Macaca fascicularis: one gene and its partner. The protein of the gene in region 2 interacts with the protein of the main gene of each other region in a pairwise test. Links are inferred from orthologs where the notes say so. Each region holds a gene or a part of one and is shown on either strand. Other genes may lie near its edges.

Region 1 (6,175 bases), on a different chromosome or scaffold from region 2:
GTCAGAGCTGGGGCAGTGGGGAAACCTATAACCCCAGAGGGTACCCCCAGACCGCCGGCCCCCGGGAAACCAGTCCTCACCAACCCTTGGATGGGCTCCCAAGGTTGTGCAGAAGATGCTCCAGTCAAAAGGAGAGAGACATTTGGGAATAAGGCTGTCCCCAAGTTGGGGGAAGTCCACGGCCTGGAGTTGGTGGCCTATGTGGTGGCCCAGGGGTCTGAGAGACCAGTCCATGTCCTGGGCGAGTCCTCAGCCTGGTAGCCCTAAAGGAAGCCTTCGCGGCGGAACTGTTCCTGGAGGAGGGCGCGGTACTGGTCAAATCCTCCTTCCACGCGGGTGACACCGCCTCCTTCGCACACCCATAACTCCCGGCACACCAGCCTGATAAAGCGTTCATTGTGGGACACCAGAATCACGCCACCCTGAAAGACACGAGAGCAGGAGGTGCTGAGGGGGACACGAGAGGCACCGAGGCCTGGGGAGGAGTGGGCAGGGTGAAGGCACACTCACCCTGAAATTGTTGAGGGCACGGCCCAGAGCCTCGATGGTCTCCATGTCCAGGTGGTTTGTGGGTTCATCCAGAATGTAGAAGTTGGGGCTGGAAGGCAGAACCCAGGAAGGTAGGCAGTGAAGGGGTGCGGTGAGAGAAAATAAAGCCTTCTGATACGGTTTTCTACTGGGCAAGAAGGGGAAATGGGAGGGGAAGAGCTCTAGAAAATGAGGCCTCACCAGGGCATAGTCATCTGAGCAAAGGCCACTCGGCTCTTCTGGCCCCCAGACAAGCTGGCAACAGGGCGCATAGCCAGCTCTCCGGAGATGCCATACCGACCCAGCTGGTGACGGTACTCCTCCTCAGGCCGCCCTGGAAAAGGACTCCCCAGATCAGGTGGTTTCTTGGCCCAACTCCCTCCCTGTACCCTCCAGCCACACCTCCAAGTCCCCATGTCCTTCCATCTAGGCTTGGGAGGGCTGCTCTGCACTCACTCCAAGGCAGGTCTAGCTGCCGGGGTCAGCCTCATCCCTCTTTCCCCACTCAAATCTCCAACTCACCAGGAAACTTGCGTGCCAGCAGTTCCACAGCACTGATGTTCAGGTCCAGCTGCTCCACGTGGTGCTGGCTGAAATAGCCAATCTTCAGATTCCTGAAGACAGAAACCGAGGTGGAAAAGCAGACAAAGGCAACAGCCATGAAGGAGTGCAGGAAGCATGGGTGCCTGCAAATGTGCTCATGGGCGGGGGTGCCTCTGACCTGTGAGCGTGTCTGATGCCCCGAACAGGTGCCAGGTCCCCCATAAGCAGCTTCAGCATGGTAGACTTCCCGGCCCCATTCTCTCCAACCTTAAGAAACGTGAAAACGTCATACAGTGTGTGCCAGAAAAATAAATACTGTAAGTTCTCACTCATATGTGGGCACTAGAAAATGTTTAGCACATAGAAGTAGAGAGTAGAGTTCTGGTTACTAGAGGCTGGGAAGGGTAAGCGGGGAGGAGGGGAATTGAGAGAGGGGATCGGGAGAGGTTGGTTAACCAAAACAGAATTGTAGCTAGATAGGAGGAATGGAGAAATAAGTTCGAGGGTTCTACAGCACTGCAGGGACGCTACAGTTCACAATGACTGATTGTACATTTTTAAAAAGCTAGAAGATTTTGAATGTTCCCAACATAAAGTGATAAATGTTTACGGTGAATATGCTAATTACCCTGATTCGAACATTACACATTGTATACATGTATGGAAATATCACTCTGTACCCCATAAACATGTATAATTACGTATCAATAAAAAGAGCACCGCTGTGTGTAACACAGAAGGGAAGGAAATTAGAAGGGGTCTCAGGCAGTCCCCAGTCCCAATGACTCCTTCAACAACCAAAAAAATATTTTTAAGGACTCTAGCCGGGCGCAGTGGCTCACGCCTGTAATCCCAGCACTTTGGGAGGCCGAGGCAAGCAGATCATTTGAGGTCAGGAGTTTGAGACCAGCCTGGCCAACATGGTGAAACGCTGTCTCTGCTAAAAATACAAAAAATAAGTTGGGCATGGTGGCAGATGCCTATAATCTCAGCTACTCATGAGGCTGAGGCAGAACTGTTCGAACCCAGGAGGCGTAAGTTGCAGTGAGCCAAGATCGTGCCATAGAAAAGCCTGGGCAACAGGGTGGGACTCTGTCTCAAAAAAAAAAAAAAAGAAAAATACATGTACTAAGGGGAGCAATACTTGAGTATTTGCTAAGTGCTGGGGGGGACTTACTTCTTCCAATACCATCCCAGGTAGATGCCAGCGCCATCTTAAGGATGAGGAAGCTGCTTGGTAACCAAGCTAGGCAATGGTATAGTCAAGATCCGAAGTCTGACCCTGAAGCCCATGCTGTCTCCTCAATGTCTCAAGATTTAGAAAACTCAGAACTGAGATCAATAAGGTAAAGCACTGCTTTAAGTATTTTTAAAACACTATATACCAGGCTCTTCCTCCCTGAAGAGCAGCGCTGTGCGGCCAGAGGACGTGGCTAGTATAAGTCCTGCAAAGTCCTTAGCCCAGGTCCTCTCTCCTGTTCCATGGACCTCATCCCTTTACAGCTTGAGGATCTGGGCCAATCCACACCACACACTGAGACGGGAGACTCCCAGCTCACAGCACAGAGAAACAGCAGCCATACCACACAGATGCGAGACTCGAGATCAGCAGACACGGAGAGGCGACTGAAGATGACGTGCTTCGGATCATAGTAGAAATCCACCTCATCTAGCTGCAGAATTGGCGGCGAGAACTTCTCAAACCCATCAGGGAATCTGCAGGAGGTAGGGGTGAGGATGTGGGGGCAGTTGGAAGCAAGCAATTCCCCACCAACCCCACTGGCCCAGCACTTACTTCATTACGACCTCTGATTCCTTGTCCACAGGCTTCAGCTCAGGCCTGGGGGAAGAGATCAGGTAGACTAGATTTATGACTTAAAAAAATAACTTCCTACACAAGTAATATATGTTCAGAGAAAACTTAGAAAGGGCTTGTACTCCTACCACTCAGGTATCATTACTTTAGAGTACACTGTTCTCGTTTACTAAATGCTAAAAAATAGAATTAGGCTTTTTGTGACTTTTTACCCCCAGTTACTATATCGTGATATGTTTCCACATTGCAAACATCTAAGCCTTATGATTTTAAGCTTCCTGCCAGCACTTATAGAAAGGGCACTTCAACGTTAAACTCCCAGTGCACACTGTCATTGGTTATTAAGGAAATGCAAATCAAAACCACAATGAGCTATCACTTCACAGCCACTAGGATGGCTAAAACTAAAAAAACAAACAGTCAATAACAGTGTTGCCAAAGACGTGGAGAAATCGGAACTCTCATTCCTTGTTGGTAGGAATGTAAAATGATGTTGCTGCTTTAGAAAACAGTTTGACAGTTCCTCAAAACATTAATGTGGAATTACCATGTAACCCAGCAATTCTGTCCCTAGGTATGCACCCAAGCAAGCTGAAAACATATGACCACACAAAAATTTGTACACCAGTGTTCACAGCAACATTACTCATAATAACCAAAATGGAAACAACCCAAATGTCCCCTAATGACTCAATAAACAAAATGCTGTATATCCATACAATAGAATATTATCCAGCCACGAAAAGAAATGAAGTTCTGACACGCGCTACAACATGGATGAGCCTCACACATGATGCCAGGTGAAAGACGCCAGGCACAAAGGTCACATACTGTATGATTCCATTTATATGAAACGCCCAGAATAAGCAGATACACAGAAGCAGAAACAGGAAGTAAATTAGTGGTTGCCACGTGCTAGTCAAGATTAGCCTTCCAAGAACAATGTGGAATACTCTGCCTCCCAGCAGAGGAGGAAGTCACAGGTGGCTTCTAGCGAAGGGGAGACCTGGAATGGTAGGGCAAGGGTGGCCTGCAAATGAGGAAGGAGACCGAGAGAACAGGAGTCAAGGCCTGGCCAAGGATGCTGTACTCACAGCTTCTCCAGCATCTTGAGTTTACTCTGCACTTGAGAGGCCCTGTTGGCATTGTAGCGAAACCGGTCAATGAAAACCTGCAGGTGGAAGAGTGCAGGCATTGGTCAAACTCCCCCACATCCCCCACTCTAGAACCCCTGGGATGGGACCCCCAGCCCTGCCAGGCCCCACACCTGGATATGCTGGCGATACTGCTGCTGTGCTTCGTATTCACGCTGCTGGTTGAGCAGCCGCTCCTGCTTACTCTTGATGAAGGTCTCAAAGTCTCCCCGGTAACCATCTAGCCGCTGGCTGTGCAGGTGGATGATGTCCGTGGCGATGGCATTCAAGAAGTTGCGGTCGTGGGAGACGACTAGGATTGTGGAGGGCCACGTCTGAGGGGTCACAGGACAGCAGGCCCAGTTTGGGAGGGCAGTCAGTTCTCAGGCCCCCAGGTATCTTGGAAGCCGACTTTCCCCAACCCACTCCAGCACCCACAGGCACTCACCTGCAGGTAATTCTCCAGCCACAGTATGGCCCTGACATCCAGCATGTTTGTAGGTTCTGGAGAAGGAGGGGAGCACACACTTGGGATTGAAGGGCTGGAGAACTAGGAACTTGGATGCTACCACCCCCGTCCATTCTAAAGTCAGGGTACCCCATTTCAAACTCACCATCTAACAGCAGAAGATCTGGCCTATGAAAAAGAATACACCGCACGAGATTTTAGGTCAGCAACTCATGCCACCTCCCAAGAGCTAAGACCAATCTTCCATAGGGCTTCATACACTGGCCCAGAAAACTCACCTAGCAAATAGGGCCCGGGCAAGGGCCAGCCTCATCCTCCAGCCACCTGAGAACTCCCTAAAGAATGATGGAGCCACATTAGGGGTGGGTGTTCATCAGGGCAGGAAGCGGCTGAGACAACAGGGTTCAAGGCCAAGAATGGCAAGGGTCACTCACCGGGTGGGTTGCTGCTGCATTTTAGGGGTAAAGCCAAGCCCAGCGAGAATGACTGATGCCCTAGTAGAGAAGAAATTGAAGAACTCAGTTGGAACAGTCCACAGAAGGGAAAGGAAATCTGAAGGAGGGAGGGGGAGCTTTAAATACCTAGCAGGTGCCTTGTCAGCCTCAATCTCCTCCAGCTTGGCATAGATTTCTGCCAGCTCTGCAGCTTCAGAGCCCTCTGCCCTGGAGGGAGGAGAAACAGCAATTGGCCTAAGTGGGGGCAGTCTAGGAGGATGTCCTGCACCTTATACCATTGGAAAGAAGGCCATTGGCTACCTTGTGGCTGGAAGAGGAAGAGAATACAGGAAGGGTTTGCACAGTGCTCATTACCTTGGGCACTATGGAAATGGGCACTGTGGAAAGAACAAGGGCTTTTGAGTCCCAGAGCGCCAAGTTCTAAGCTCTGCGGATTACTAGGATGGACATGCAAATTATGGATTGTTCCAGGAGGGCAGGCACTCTGTGAGGGACAGCAGCTGCTGGTTGCTCCCTAGCCGGAAGCCCTCACCTGCCAGCAGCAATCTGGGCACTGAGCTCCCGCTCCCGCCGTAGCAAATCCTCTCGCACACTGTCACTCTCCAGCACACTCTGCAGGGCAGGAGTGTCATCTCCAGCAACCTCTTGCTCAACGTGCAGCAGGGAAATGTGGGCTGGAACCCGCAGACTCCGGGTGGCTAGCATCTTCAGTAATGTTGTCTTCCCCAACCCATTCCGCCCCACCAGCCCGTAACGGCGGCCCCATGCCAGGTTCACATCTGCTCCAGCCAGCAATACTCTGCAGGAGTGGAGACAGGAGACCAAAGATGCTCTAGAAATAGGTGCACAGCAAGTTTAACAACAAACCTCACATTGTTTGTAGCCCCATTTCATCTCTCCAAATTCTCCTCTAATTAGAAAAAGAAAGCCAACCCCTGCCACCACTATCCCCTCACCTATCGCCAAAAGACACATCAAAGTTCTCAATTCGCACATCATAGGATTTGTTCTTGCCAGATGATTCCAACCGACTCTCCTTTCTGCTGCCTGCCTGGCTGGCTGATGCCTCTTCTAAGACTCTTTAAAGGGAGAAATGGACAGCTCTTAATGCTCCCCACCACCTTCTGTCCAGGCAAGAACTGCTCCGCTCTCTTCTGGGCCATGCTTCCCCCACTCACAGAGGGTTGCTGGTCTTGAGCGTGTCCTTCTCTGAGCGCTTCTCCTGCTTTGC
Region 2 (7,062 bases):
ATTTTTAGTTTGAAACTAACAAACACAGTCTAGTTTGGCATACTATGGAAATAATAGGTCATTTGGCCTAAATGAAGACTCTGTGTGCCTGATACCTACTGCTGCTACTACTGGGGATGGTGGGAGGTTTTGTAGAGTTAGGGTACCAGTTGGTGACACCACACATGGAGTCTGGAAATGGAAAATACACGAAATACCCTTCAGAAAACCTCTGAGACTTGTCTCAAAATAATTACTCCTGTTCCACCAAGGCTCTGAAAAACTGGCTTCATCTAGAGCGCGGAGAAACAAACAACAGGAATAACTCTTCTACCACATGCCAGTGTTTCTTTAGAGTAGGGGAGGGCTTGCCAACACTACTTGGCCAGCACTCTAAGATAGTAGTTTAGACACGACCCTGAATTCAAAGAGAAAAATGACTATTCATTGTACACCCTGCCCTCCTCACTATGGAGGCTGCCAATTAGACTGTGAACAGGAATGAAGTGGAGGTGGGGTTACTGGGGTTTCTCCAGCCCAGGCAGATGGCAAGCCTGTTCTGATTCAGATCACTTCCATGGGGCTGTGCCAAAAACATGCCCATATTCTCTATGCTTGTCTATGCTGCCTCTCGCTTCACGCCACAACCAGTGAAGCACTTCCTCAAAACTTCTAGAGTTCTAAGGGGGTGCTAGAAAACCACTAGTTTAGATTAACCCTAAACCAATGCAGGGGTTCCTTGCATTGGGTCCCTGAAAGATGCTTGCCCACAATTTTCTTACACACTTACAGGGCTACACTATGTCTCACGGGTGCTTATCCTGTCTTTGGGAAGATCTGACTACTAGAAAGTATTTCCCAATACTAAACTCACATCTACTTCTTTCCTACCTTCATCTTTTGGTTCAAGTTCTTCCTCTTGAAGTTACATGGCATAAGTCTGTGCTATCCCCTTTTATCTGACTAATCAAATACTATTCATCTGCCAGTATTCATCTTAAGTCTTCTTCTGTGTTACACCCAAAACAATCCCTCCCAGAGTGATTTCTGTGTCCTCTGGATTCTTCAACTACACTTAATGCACCACTCCTCCGCACTTATGCTTTACCATCTTAGTTATTTTTGGCATTCTTTATGCCTTTCTAACAAGAACATAATCTTTTGATGGCTGGATGGTGTCAGTCTTTTATGAATGTCTATCTCTATACCCCTTCATCATGTTGCTGCTGAGTAGATAGTGTGTGCACGGGTCCTCCATGAACTGGCCCTAACCACAACAAGTTTACTTATTTTCTATCACATTTCCTCACAAAAATCCTCCACTCTAATCTATCCAGCTACCAAATTATACCCTGTGTCTTCCTCATTTGCTAATACTTTCTTGTTTCCTATCCCAACCTCTCCCCATCTAGAGCAGAGAGTATTAGCCTCAGGCATATGAACTCTAAACACCGTATACAAAATGTACATTTTTGTACGTGGGAGAGAATGTTTCACAGCTTTCATACAACTCTCAAAGGTCCCAAGACTCCATAAAAAATTAAAATCCACTATTATAAATTTTTTCCCATCTTTGCTTAACCAAATCTTCCCTATTCTTAAAAGCCCAGCTCATGTCCCTGGATCCAGGGAACCTTCCATATGGGGGAGATTTCCCAAGCTCTGAATATATATGTATGAATATATATGTATATATATCTCCATATATATTGATATATAAGGAGATAGATATATCTAAATTGATATATATCTCTAAATTGATACACATACGTCGATTTTTCTACCATTAATCTCTGTGGTTTATTATGTACCTTGTAGAAATTTTAAAATTAGTATCTTCATTGTGACTTAAATCTTTTGTATTTAATGTTTCATGACTGTAAACTTTACGGCATCTTTTTGTTATATGTACTGCCTTCCACAGAGCAGGTACTTAACAAATACTACTGTGGATGGCCGGGTGTAGTAGCTCACGCCTGTAATCCTAGCACTTTAGGAGGCCAAGGCAGGTGGATCACGAGGTCAGGAGATAGAGACCATCCTGGCTAACATGGTGAAACCCCGTCTCTACTAAAAAGATACAAAAAAAAATTAGCTGGGCGTGGTGGCAGGCGCCTGTAGTCCCAGCTACTCGGGAGGCTGAGGCAGGAGAATGGCATGAACCTGGGAGGAGGAGCTTGCAGTAAGCCGAGATCGTGCACTGCACCTCCAGCCTGGGCAGCAGAGCGAGACTCCGTCTCAAAAAAAAAAAAAAAAAAAAAAAATCCTACTGTGGACACGAATGAAGACGGTGAATCACCTTCATCTCAGTGTGTGTAGCAACTCAGTTTTAAAGGTGCATATCACAGTTGCGACAGTGTCATTAGACCTGGGCAAAATGCCACAGTTAGCTGCCACCTTACCTCTGCTTTACGAATATTTTCTCTAGCTTCATCTATTTTCTGTTCCAGCTCTGCTCGGCTTTGTTCTGATACAGCAGGTCCATGACACTCCAGATCATCTAGAACCTATTAAAAAAAATGGGACAATAATGATGACTGTTTTTTACTTTTTATCTTCCTTAAGTGATTAGAGTATTTACATAATTCAAAAGGCTTTAGTGACTAGTAGCCACAATTTTTTTCATTTATTTATTTTTTGAACATTTTGAAATAATTATAGACTTACTAGTAACAAACTTACTACAGAGAGTCCCTTCAGTGGGGAAGCCAGGACCAGCCACTGTCTGACTGACGCCACATGAGAGACCCCAAGGGAAACTGCTAAGCTGAGACCACCCAATACTCAGATTAGTGAGAGATAATGTAAAAACCCTCTTGTTCTACGGCATTAAGTTTGAGGTGGTTTGTTAAGCAACATTACATAAGTAGAACATTGAATCTGAGATGCCTGTGAGATAGTGAAAAGATGTCAAAACAGGAAAGAGGTTATATGGATACACAGTAGTAGCTAGGCCCAATGTTGAAGATAATAATTTATGATTTGGTGGTAAAGTAAAACCATGGAAGTGATTGAGAATGCCTATATGAGGATAAAGAATAAAAAAAACAAGATAGCCAAACAATCTGAGAAAATGAATATTTAATTGTGGGCTGGAGAAAGAGGAAACTATGAAAAAATCTAGGAATAGCCAGAAAGGCAGAAGGAAAGCCAGGACAATGTTGAATCGTGGATGACTAGAGAAGATAACATTTTAAGACAAAGGGAGTTGTCAATTGTGATAAAATTGTTGACAGATTAAGAAAAATGAGAAATCAAACTGTCCATTTTGAAGTTAGCAACACAGACATCATTGGTGATTTTGGTAAGCTTAGACTATGAAGTGATACAGGGGGAAGGAAAGGAAAGGAAAGCTCAAATGTAATGGGCTAAAAAGTAAGTGGGAGGTGAGATTCTATAGATAATAAGCATAGGCAATTCTTTTAAGAAGTAGGATGTGAAAGCAAAGAATGAGAAGGATATAGGTATCAATAAATGAAATTGAGAAAAAAAGTACTATACTGAAAATAATTTCTTTGTGCTTAGAGTTTAGTCTTTGAGATATATTTTCTCCCTTCTTCCTTCCCTTCCTCTTTCCCATCCTTCTTCCTGTCCTCCTTCCCTTTCTCCTTCCCTTTCTTTTCTTTTCTTTCGAGACAGTGTCTTGCCCTGTCACCCAGGCTGGAGTGCAGTGGCATGATCTTACCTCAATGTAACCTCCACCTCCTGGGCTCAAGCAATTCTCCCCAACCTTAGCCTCCCGAATAGGTGGGAAGATAGGTGTGTGCCACCATGTCCGACTAATTTTTGAATTTTTTGTAGAGACTGGGTTTTTTGCCATGTTGCTCAGGCTGGTCTGAAACTCCTGGCTCAAGCAATCGACCTGCCTCAGCCTCCCAAAGTTCTGGGATTACAGGCATGACCCACTGCGCCCAGCCAAACATATATTTTCATGAAACCTATAATTGTGTCTTTAAAAAATATGTCTTGAGGGATGAAAACCTGTATTAATTCAACATATGTCTCTTCCCCTGCCCGTAACACACTATCACAGCTTTTCTTTGGCAATTTTATGGTAAACTGGTGAATTAATGTATTGCTGATGGAGGGCTTAAGGAAATTCCAACATGAGTAGATAGCTGACAGCACACTGCTAAGTGTTGAGAAAGTACAGAAAAAACACATACAATGCTTGAGCAAAGGAGTTTGAGACCAGCCTGGGAAACATGGCAAGACCCTATCTCTACAAAAAACCTAAAAAAAATTAGCCAGGCATGGTGGTGTGTGCCTGTGGTCCCAGCTACTTGGGAGGCTGAAGTGGGAGGATTGCTTCAGCCCAGGAGGTTGAAGCTGCAGTAAGCTATGTTCACACCACTGCCCTTCAACCTGGGTGACAGAGCAAGCCTCTTGTCTCAAACAAAACAAAACAAAACAAAACAACACATATAGGATATTTTTCACATTAATAAAACTCAGCTCCTTAAACTGTTTGACATTTGGCTTAAGGTGAATGTAACTAGGACTTTCTCTTATACTTACCCGTTGTTGATGAACAATGTTTTTATGCTCACGTGCCACACGTGTGGCCCATTTTCGAGCTTCCTTATTTAGACTGTGCTCCTCTGTGGTCCCAGTTTCTGATTCTAATTGTCGGCTCTACAACACAAGACAGAACAGAGATAAAAATATTGCTATCTTTATTGCAACCACCACTGCTTTGTAGATGGATCAGAAGGCCTTCACTTAATCAGCACTCAAAACATAAGGCACACTCCACTACTGCTGGAAACAATGTCTTATCGTCACAGAAAGTTACCAGAAGAGTAAGATGAGTATAAAACCATTAAAGACCATAAACTTTTTGTCTTACAGTGCTGAACACAAAAGCATCATCTCTAATACTGCAGACTTATCTTTTTGGGTGTGACGGACTTATCTTTCCGAGTGAAAAGGAAGCTAGCTAAGGTAAGCAAAGAAGAAAATGTATTCATGCCAACCTACTATGGTGATAAAATCATTGCATAAATAAAAATGGAAACAACTTAATAGTTTCAATGTGAGTAAGGAATCATTAAAGATAAGAACAAAACAATACAATAACAGCAACACAATCTTGCACCCCTCCTGCTAACCCAAGGCAGATGGAACTCGTTAGAGGTCCATCATCAACTTGCCACCAAACCTTAAAAGTCAGCTTTTGCCCTTTCTCCAGGCTTCATATGAAATATAAGGGTGCTAGATAAAATGATCACCAAGGGTTTCTTCTAGCTGTATGCTATGATTCTGATTTACAAAGAACAAACCACAAAATCTAAATAAAAATATTAATAGCTAACTCCTATTGTGCAAAGTACTATGGAAAGTGATTCATATAACTTTTTTTTTAAACAACTTTATGACGTGGGTCCCACACCATTTTATAGAAAAGAAAACAAAGGCTCAGAGAGGTTAATTTTTCTTGGATGTCCTAGATATTAAATGTTACAACCGTAATTGTCTGATTACAGAATCAGAGCCATTAAACACAAAACTATTTTAATTCTCTCTAAATTCTTAAAGACCCCTGAAAAACAAACTTTATTGAAATAATTAGGAATTTATTTTAAAAAAATATGAATCACCCAAAGAGGCTTTTCATATAGAAAGAAGCAAAATTGTAGAATGAAAAGAATTTTAGAAATTCTGATCATGGCTCACTGCAGCGTTGACCTCCGGGATCAAGTGACTCTTCCATTTCAGCCTCCTGAGTAGCTGGAACTACAGGTGTGTGCCACCATACCCAGCTAATTTTTTTTTTTTCCTTCTAGAGATAAGGTCTCTCTATGTTGCCCAGGCTTGTCTTGAACTCCTCGGCTCAAGTAATCCTCCCACTCTGGCCTTCCAAAGTGTTGAAATGCCAGGGATGAGCCACTACACCTGGCCTAGTAATTCTTTTGCAAGGTCTCATAGTTCAAAATTGATAGAGTAAGTAGAAATTGATAAACTGGATTTTAAAAATTAATATTTTTGTTGGGGGAATTGTGATGGGGCAGAGTTTAAAAATTTTTGTTCTATACAGATATTTCAGCTAAAGCTAGATTATAACAATGACAAATGAATTTAAATAGAGCAAAATAATCAAAATTCAAACCTAACCATCTTTACATTCACATTTTATATTCTAATGGGAATGAACTTTATTATTATATTTTGCTTTGCAAATGAGTCTGGGCATTCAATTTACATCTGTTCTCAAAGTCAGGAACATTAAAATGTTAACTCTGGACATAGATACAAATGAAATATACAAAAGTCAGAGGAAGTGATCTGTAAAAGTAGAAAGATAAATTCTGAAGAGTCCAAGAATAGGTTTTTGAGTCAGATAGACTTAGTTTGAATCCACTGTAGGCCATTTTATGGTACTACTAGCTTTATGATCTTGGGCATGTTAATTATCTGAGTTGTAGCTACATCTGAAAACTAGTGAAAATGTCACCTATCTCCGTAGGGTTGGTAGGTTATAATGAAGTCATATTTTAAACATTCTGGTATAGTATCTACATAATATCTTAGCATCCAGTAATGGTAACTGCTAATGTTAAAAGCCCAATTGAAAATTACTTGAAACAAAAATTTTCTCATTACTGTTCATAAGAAAATCCAGATAATTCCTAGGTTCTTAATAGTGTAAACAATGAATCCAAAACAAAGATTGAAGATATATTGAAAGATTAAGGCAGATCTCAAAGAGAATGAATTTGTAGGGAGTAGCTGGATGAGAAAGGAGGCAACTGATAGAGACATTTAATATTTTTTTTTTTTTTTGAGACGGAGTCTCGCTCTGTCGCCCAGGCTGGAGTGCAGTGGCTGCATCTCAGCTCACTGCAAGCTCCACCTCCCGGGTTTACGCCATTCTCCTGCCTCAGCCTCTCGAGTAGCTGGGACTACAGGCGTCCGCCACCTCGCCCGGCTAGATTTTTGTATTTTTTAGTAGAGACAGGGTTTCACCGTGTTAGCCAGGATGGTCTTGATCTCCGCCCATCTGGGCCTCCCAAAGTGCTGGGATTGCAGGCTTGAGCCACCGCGCCCGGCCAGAGACATTTATTACTGAGCAGCATTTTAGGA

The links.
Region 1: the proteins of FCHSD2 (region 2) and ABCF3 interact in binary tests that used the Homo sapiens proteins (3 or more experiments, as listed by UniProt). The two-hybrid records come from large-scale screens. The link is inferred for Macaca fascicularis from reciprocal best matches to the Homo sapiens genes FCHSD2 and ABCF3.

What each region holds. Positions count from the first base shown.
Region 1 is NC_088376.1:96,106,906-96,113,080, reverse strand, and holds part of ABCF3 (ATP-binding cassette sub-family F member 3), read right to left. Parts: coding exon 6,123-6,175; intron 6,024-6,122; coding exon 5,901-6,023; intron 5,744-5,900; coding exon 5,477-5,743; intron 5,152-5,476; coding exon 5,071-5,151; intron 4,984-5,070; coding exon 4,924-4,983; intron 4,825-4,923; coding exon 4,768-4,824; intron 4,658-4,767; coding exon 4,635-4,657; intron 4,525-4,634; coding exon 4,469-4,524; intron 4,356-4,468; coding exon 4,155-4,355; intron 4,059-4,154; coding exon 3,982-4,058; intron 2,912-3,981; coding exon 2,867-2,911; intron 2,788-2,866; coding exon 2,655-2,787; exon of another isoform or gene 2,457-2,654; intron 1,339-2,456; coding exon 1,250-1,338; intron 1,143-1,249; coding exon 1,051-1,142; intron 863-1,050; coding exon 730-862; intron 674-729; coding exon of another isoform or gene 599-673; coding exon 511-598; intron 423-510; coding exon 264-422; 3' UTR 1-263.
Region 2 is NC_088388.1:71,689,920-71,696,981, forward strand, and holds part of FCHSD2 (F-BAR and double SH3 domains protein 2), read right to left. Parts: intron 4,615-7,062; coding exon 4,498-4,614; intron 2,487-4,497; coding exon 2,382-2,486; intron 1-2,381. UniProt on the Homo sapiens protein: Adapter protein that plays a role in endocytosis via clathrin-coated pits. Contributes to the internalization of cell surface receptors, such as integrin ITGB1 and transferrin receptor.